2 linked regions of the Danio rerio genome follow. The protein of the gene in region 2 interacts with the protein of the main gene of each other region in a biochemical or structural test. Links are inferred from orthologs where the notes say so. Each region holds a gene or a part of one and is shown on either strand. Other genes may lie near its edges. The genes, in order: npr3 and nppa.

Evidence for each region.
Region 1: the proteins of nppa (region 2) and npr3 form a complex in vitro, tested with the Homo sapiens proteins (4 studies listed by BioGRID, with this or other methods). The link is inferred for Danio rerio from reciprocal best matches to the Homo sapiens genes NPPA and NPR3.

What each region holds. Positions count from the first base shown.
Region 1 is NC_133180.1:42,184,634-42,188,463, forward strand, and holds part of npr3 (atrial natriuretic peptide receptor 3 precursor), read right to left. Parts: intron 2,270-3,830; coding exon 2,175-2,269; coding exon of another isoform or gene 2,121-2,174; exon of another isoform or gene 1,145-2,120; intron 1,109-1,144; coding exon 997-1,108; intron 123-996; coding exon of another isoform or gene 120-122; coding exon 35-119; intron 25-34; exon of another isoform or gene 1-24. UniProt on the Homo sapiens protein: Receptor for the natriuretic peptide hormones, binding with similar affinities atrial natriuretic peptide NPPA/ANP, brain natriuretic peptide NPPB/BNP, and C-type natriuretic peptide NPPC/CNP.
Region 2 is NC_133183.1:58,370,654-58,375,173, reverse strand, and holds the start of nppa (natriuretic peptides A precursor), read right to left. Parts: upstream 3,122-4,520; 5' UTR 3,084-3,121; coding exon 2,970-3,083; intron 1-2,969.

The sequences.
Region 1 (3,830 bases), on a different chromosome or scaffold from region 2:
ATATTTCATAAAAAAGAGTGTATTCTGTATTTACCTAAAGAAGTAGAATGCCAGGAGAAGAGCTGTTCCCAGAATCCCCCCTACTATTATCCCAGTCACCGCTGATACACCTAGTCCACCTGCTTAGGAGAGAAAGTAAAACCATGTATAAGGAAAGCTCTCCATCTACAAAATCCAGGAGTTATCATAATAAATGATTATTCATAATAATTAAACAATATGTACTGTATAAGGTACAATGTCTCATTTCCACTGAGCAGTATTTTTCTGAACAATACAGTACTGGTGGTTACCCTAATCAGGCCTGCATTTCCTTTGGGAACAATACACTTTCTTGGTAGTCATTGTGCATGCCAGAAAGTTGTGATCAGCATCATTGACTGTTCACATATGGCATATTTTATGACTTCAAGTTTATTATTTTAAATGTAGACGCGTGGCAAGCCTGCACAGTTAGACAGATGAACCGGGCCTTTTGCAATTTCCACTCGTTTAGACGCAACATGTGAACAGTCCCTTAAACAAAAATAGAGGACATAAAGCAGATCCTGTTTTTTCTTCTTAGCATATGACAGTTTGTTTGAGATTGGGGTTGGGCATGGTTCACTGCTCTGTGAGGTCTTGTATTATGTATTGTATTGTATGACGGTGTTGTGTTTTGGCTGTGTATTTAAAAATGTCACTTCTTGTGTTGACGTTCCACTTGTCTTGTTGCATGCGCTGGTGACAATTCTCTATAAACCAATATTATTCAGTCTAGCTCCGCCCTTTTGGTACTGTACTGTATTTGTACACCCTTAGGAAATGGTATTTTGGTACCTTTGACAGTGGAACAAATGTGTATTGTACACATGTACGTGTACAGTACCAAACCATACCACTCAGTGGAAATGGGCTATTAGACCCATCTATGACTTAGATGGGTTTAAATCCACACTGTTACAGAAATAAAGCAAACAAACAAGTGCCAGTCTTAAAGCAGCAGAGGTAATTTACATGATGGGTCGAGAGGTTTTGGAGGTGGTATCGTTCGCAAGGAGAACCATTCCCTCTTGAAGCCCGGCAAGATCTGGAAACTTCCATTAGTGCCGAAGTAGTTCATGACAGTCTGATGGTATAAAAAGACATTCATTATAGTGACTACCTGTATTGACTCTCCTCAATTCTGACTAAACAACTTAGGCCCCATTTACACTAATACGTTTTTGTTTTAAAATGCATAAGTTACGCCTTCCTTCCACACTACCCCAGAGTTTTCTAGCCCTGAAAATGGAGCATTTTGGAAAAAGTATAAAGGCCGTTTTTTCATTTTCAAACGCTGCTGCTCCGTGTGGATGAGGGAAAACAGAGACATCTGAAAACCGAAAGCATGGCCACCTGATTGGGGCTTTTCCCTCAATATTAAGTGCACAAAGTTCAGTCTAGCATCCTTAAGTTCAGACTTTTGATATGAGTTTGATATGGAAAACAAATCTTGAACTAAATCTTCAAAGGGAACCTTGCACTTTTTTAACCTCATCTTATCACCCTGCTACATTGTTTCATCTTACAATCTAAACAATAAAATAATTATATGACATTACTGCATATTTTCTTCTTGATATTAGCAACAGACGCCAAAAATGTTGAGGTATCATGTAACTGCCTTCTTTCTTTTTCTTTGAAAAATAAGAAACATAACCTCTCCTTTGCTAAATATCAGTTTTAATAATTCATAATGGCCATTTTAAAAGTACACAAGTTTATACAATATAGGAAATAAAGCCAAGCAATCAATGTGCAAAATCAGTGTATGTGGTTACATTAATATTTTAACTTATCTTTACGCTCGGCCAAAACACATTACCTTAGAACAAGTAATAGATCCAAAAGACCAAGAAGTCGTTAGATAGAGACAAGATGAATTAAATATCACGTTTAACTACTATAGTGAGATGAGATCCAGCGGAACATCCTGGATGAACTGTCCAATGTGCACTGCTCCCATCTGGGGAGGTGTGCTCAGCACCCGCCAAGTGTTTGTGCGCGGTCACGTGATGTGCGTTTTCAGAGGTCTGGTGTGGATGTAGATCGTTTTTGTTCTAAAACGCCATTTTAAATCTAAAACGTATTCGTGTAAACTAGAATAAATTAGTTTCAAATGTCTGAACTGTCGAGAGGTTTTTGTAAAATACCTCGTGTTTTCCTGACTCTGGATCGGTCATCCTCACAACAGAGAAATCCCCATTCCGGTCGCCATTGGCATCCAAAGACACCTGGCCAGCAATGCCTGTATAACGGAATGTGAGGAATGAGAAAATTAATTAGTTTGAAGAGTCAGACATTCCAAGGAAAACACCGGCAAGAGTCGACAAATTCCGGGTGGGCAATACAACAGGAAATCTCATCCGCCTCCTGCCGTTTTTGTTGGCTTTGACTGCAGAAATGGTAATTTCATCTGTACATCTGTGTTGCTGAATTCTTGAGATTTTTAAAATATTATTTCATTTAACAGGAAAACATGACCCTGTTCCTGATGATTCTGGCTGAGTGGAACATTGTTATTTCACGTTTAGTTGTCTTGCTGTGGTCATTGAGACGGGTCTGAGCCGCAGACATGTCTGAGCACTTATTTTGTAAGGGAAGTTTAATGAATTACAGTGGCAAGAACACTGGCGAGACCTCTGTTCACGACTACAATAATGGGAATCAAATGGTACTTGGTCAGTCTTAAGATTCCAACTTGCTTTTTTTCACAAAATATGCATTACTGTTTTCCTAGTAATGAACTTAGTGTGCAAAATTTAAGAGAATGTTTAAATGTTAAAGGACAAAATGTTAACAAAATTTTGCATACATTACTACTCAAAAATTAGCAATGTCAAAGAAATTTTGAATAAACAAATAAATAAATAAAAAAATATAAAATAAAATAAAATGTTATTACAATAAAAAATATATACTTTAGTTCTGAATATTAGGCCTTTAACTTGCATTGTAAGAAAGAAAAAATAGACCAAATAGTTTGGTTAACTTAAATTCCTGGAACCATTTTAAGCAAAATGTTTTTTTTTTTGTTTTGTTTTTTTGTTTTAATGATAACCTATGCACGGAAGGTCAACCAGGCCATAACAATGCCTGTTACAGGGTCAACAATACTAACCGCTGAGCCACTGTGCCGCTCCCTACATACATTTTTTGTAACTTTATTTGTAATATAGCCAATACTTGTGTGCGAGTTACTAGACCCCCTCCCACAAGTCAAATGTTGTTTTAAAAAAATTGAAAGACTGAAGTTATGTTTTCGTCATCAGGAATGTATGTTTTTGTTAGCAGAACACACATATTCAAAGGCACAGGACAAAGTAGCAGACGCTGAAATGTATGCAGCCAATTTCACCATGAACATTCAAGGTGGAAATACTCAAAACTCTTTTTGTCATTTCAATAAAACAACATTAGAATGAAGGATGTACACTACCGGTCAAAGGTTTGACAAAGTTTTTTTCATGTAATTTCATGTATGAAAGTTATTCTGTGCATCAAGGTGTCATTTATTAAATGTTAAATTGTTAAATATATGTTTACATTTTAAATAACTGCTTTCATATGGTATGTAGTTTGAAATTAAAACTCCTTTCATTATTGCTTTTATTACTATTACAAATTATTATAAAATTATAAATTTATTATAAAAAATATAAATTAATTATTATAAGTAATATTAGAGTGATTTCTGAAGCATTATGTTACTCTGAAAACTGGAGTAATGAAGCTGAAAATTCATCACTAAATTCATTGGAATAAATGATTAAATTAAATAATAAACTACTTTTGAACAGTTATTTTAT
Region 2 (4,520 bases):
ATTGCCTTGTCTCAAACACAATGCTTATGTTTCTTATTGAAGCACCTGTGCTACTTTGCATTGAAATATAGTCCTCAAAAAGGAAAAATTGAAGTTTGAAACTAATTTCGAGAGAAGCTTGTGATATGATTGATCGCGGCTGGTTTCTCATCCATAATCTGTAATAATTCAATCAGATTGGTTTAAGCTTACTATAGCCTGATTTCACCCTACTGCTTTATCTTTGTTTTGGAAGAATCCCTTCTTCCACCCCATCGCTTTCTTTTCCTTCTTTACCGCGAGGAGCTCTCAAGACTTACCTGATCTCGGACCCCCTTACATGCTTAAAGATTTGCCGGGATCCCTGGGCTCAATTATTCCCAAGTTTATGGTTCTCTCCCAGGACAGCATGCCAAACTTGCTAATAGTGTCAAGCAATAATCTAATCCTAAACTCTTGGAATCAACTTTGGACAAAAGTGGTGCGCAGATGACCTTGACCTTTATATATTGTACCTTTTATATATTGAATCCCAAGATCATTTAAAAATACCATTAATAAATGCTCCAATACAACTCAACCTTCTTTTTTTTTCTTTTTTTTTTTTGCTATGATGAACCATTTTTGCTTTCCAAAAGAACTTTTCAGTAGACAACTGCGAAAAGAACCCTTTTTCCATAGCATGAACAACATTTCGAGAATTTAAAGAACCTTTTTTTCCACTATAAGAACCATTTATGCAATGGAATATTTCAAAAAGTAAATCAAAAAATTTTTTAAAGAACATTTTGTCCAATGGAAAATTCCATAGGTATTTGCGAAGTGTTTTTCCTCTATAAAAACCTTTTTTTTTCCCAATTGAACATTTCCTAAGGTGAATCTAAAGATATTTGTCCACTATAAGAACTTTTGTCTGATAGAAAGTTCAATAAGTGCAACAAAAAAAATTCCAGAATAAGAACCTTTTGTTTAAGGAAAAATTTTAATATGTGCAACTAAATAATTTTGTTTCCACTTTATATAAACCTTTTTTCCAATAGAAAATTTCCATAGGTGCATCCAATATATGTTCTCACAATAAGAACCATTTGTCCAATGGAAAATTTCCATATAGGTGAATCTAAAGTTCCATGGATCCATGTAAAGATTTTTTCCCTATTATGAGAACCTTTTGTCTAATAAAAAATTCCATAGGTACATATACAAGTTTTTTTTTTCACTTTAAGAACCTTTTGTCCAGTAAAACATTTCCATATATGGATCTAAATATTTTTTTTTGCTATAGGAACCCTTTTTTCAATGTAAAATTTCTATGGGTGTATCTAAAAAGAATGTTTCCAGCAATAAGAACCATGTGTTCAATGGAAAACGTCCATAAGTGAATCTAAAGATTTTTTTTTCCACTGTAAGAGCCTTTTGTCTAATGCAAAGTTCCAGATGCATGTAAAGATTTTTTTCAATATAAGAACGTTTGTCAAGTGAAACATTTTCATTTATGCATTTAAATATTCTTTAACTATAAGAACCTTTTGGCTAACGGAAAATTTCCATTGGTGCATCTAAAAAGAATGTTTCCAAAAATAAGAATCATTTGTCCAATACAAAAAGTCCATAGGTGAACCTATAGGTTTTTTTCCACTATGAGGACCTTTGGTCTAATGGAAAGTTTCCATAGGCATATCTAAAAAGAATGTTTCCAACAAAAGGAACCATTTGTTTAGTAGAAAACTATAGAAGAGTCTAAAGATTTTTTTTCCCACTATAAGAAGCTTTTGTCTAATGGAAAGTTTCATAGGTGCATGTAAAGATATTTTTTGTTCCATTATAAGGATCTTTTGTCCAATGGAATATTATTATAGGTGCAAAAAAAAAAAAAGCACACAATAAGAAGCTTTTGAATTAAATAAAATGTTCCCGCTATATGTAAAAATCTATTTTGTCCAATGTAAAATTTCCATAAGCGCATCCAATATTTTTTCCACAATAAGAACTGTTTGTTAAATGCTGAGTTCCATAGGTCCTTGTAAAGATTTCTTTTACCATTATAAGAACCTTTTATCCAATGGAATGTTCCATTGGAATGATGTCTAATGGATAGTTCCATTGGTGCATCTAAGTATTTTTTCTTTCTACTATAAGAACTTTTTTTTCAGAGGAAAATTTCCATAGGTGCATCTAAAAAAAAATGTTTCTAAAAATAAGAACCATTTGTCCAAAATAAAAAATGTCCATAGGTAAATCTAAAGATGTTCTTTCCACTATAAGAACCTTTTGTCTAATGGAAAGTTCCGTAGATGCATGTAAAGATTTTATTTTCAATTATAAAAACCTTTTGTCCAGTGGAACAATTACATATATGCATCTGAAAAATTCTACTATAAGAACTTTTTGTCCAATGTAAAATTTCCATAGGTGCATCCAATATTTTTTTCTCACAATAAGAACTATTTGTCCAATGGAAAATTTCCATAGGTGAATCTAAAGATTGTGTTTCCACTAAGAATCTTTTGCCCAATGGAATGTTGTTCCACAGGTGCATCTAAGTACTTTTTTGTATACTATAAGAACCTTTTGTCTAATAGAAAATGTGCATAAGTAATTTGCAATCATTTTTAACTAAAAGCCTTGTGTGTCATAAAGATTTGAAAAATGACTGTGCATATAAAAATCCCTCGCACAATAAGAACCATTTGTCCAACGGAAGTTGTTAATAGGTGAATCACAATACTTTTGGAGAATTGGAAAGTTTCCATGAATGTTAAAGATTCTTTATGTAAACATGCTGCCAATGACCTTTTAAGAGTATCTAATAATTTTACTTCTTATTTTTTCGATATTGAAAGTCACATAAAGAACCTTCAACATCAACAGAAAACTTCAACTGTACAAAACGTTGTAAAAGAAGTTGTTTCAGTGACGAAAAACCACTAACTTTTAAGAGCACTGACTGTTTACCTCACATTGAATTGGTTAAACATAAACCCAAATACCTTGAGCTTGGCCATGTTGCTGTCAGAGCTGTGTCTGCTCAACGTGTGCGCTTGTACATCCGTCTGCTGCCAAACCAGGAGCAGCAGTCCTGTCAGAATTAGTCCCCCGGCCATCTCTGAGTGTCTCTGAATGCGTTTTCTTGCCCTCTGAACTGGCTTGGCTCTTATATAGGGACAGTTGGCTGTCAGTGGCTCATCCGTGGTAAAGCGTGTGAAGTGCATTCCGACACCTCGTCTGTGATAACGCTTGCTGGGGCAGATTTCCTTTTAAGTGGCTGTTTTTCGCAGGCCTGGAGAAGTCCTGGTAACTCGGACACAAACAGTGACCTCAGGCATCATGGGGAATGAATCCGCTGCACACGAGTGGCTCACATGCTTCCGGCATCAGATACAAACTACAACTGAGTATACCATAAGGGGTTAAAGCAGACCGCAATCCTATATATAGGCCAATGATGCAGACTGAAGGGATGACTTTGTGGACTATATGTAAAATATGTTTATTGGAGAGGTTTTATCTGACTGATTTCTTGTGTTGTTGGCATGATGACCGCACATAATATTTTACTACACTGTTACGACACTGTATAAAAAAAAACCTGTTTATTATAGGTTTTCTGTATTTTCTGTTTATAAACGGTTGTGAATTGTATTATGGGATGTTGATCTCTTTCAATGTTGAAAATTAAACTTTACAGTTTAACAAAGTGCATTTTATTGACATTTTAGTAGTTTGAAATAATATAGGTTTAATAAATAATATATAGAGATACACTGACCGGCCACTTTATTAGGTACACCTTACTATTACCGGGTTGAACCCCCTTTTGCTTCAGAATCGCCTTAATCCTTCGTGGCATGGATTTAACAAGGTCCATATTGACATGATAGCATCACGTAGTTGCTGCTGATTTGTCAGCTGCACATCCATGCATTTGAATCTCCTGTTCCACCACATCCCAAGGATGCTCTATTGGATTGAGGTCTGGTGACTGTGGAGGTCATTTGAGTACAGTGAACTCATTGTCATCTTCAAGAAACCCCAGTCTGAGATGATTTGTGACATGGCGCGTTTTTTTGCTGAAAGCAGCCATCAGAAGATGGGTACACTGTGGTAATAAAGGGATGGACATGGTCAGCAACAATACTCAGTAGGCTGTGGCATTGGCACGATGCTCAATTGGTAAACATCAGTTTCAGTTCTTTTCAGTGCTCTCCCTACTCAGACTATAAAACATCTCATTCACAAATATTCTTTGCTGAGTCTTGTTTCTCTAAAAACATTTGCAAGCGTTATTCCTGTCAAGCCTTGCTTTTTGATCATTGCCTTGTTTAATTGTTTATGCTGTTTGCCGCCTGCACTGACCTCTTTGCCTGTGACCTCGACTACACTTCTGAATTACCCTCATGATATTTTTTGTACCTGTTGACCATTGCCTGTCTGAAAAATTCATAATAAACTGCACGTGGATCTTAAACACTGTTCTAATGGTACAATAATGTTGTAATATTTCTATTTTTATTTTTTTATGCTATATCTTATATTATTTG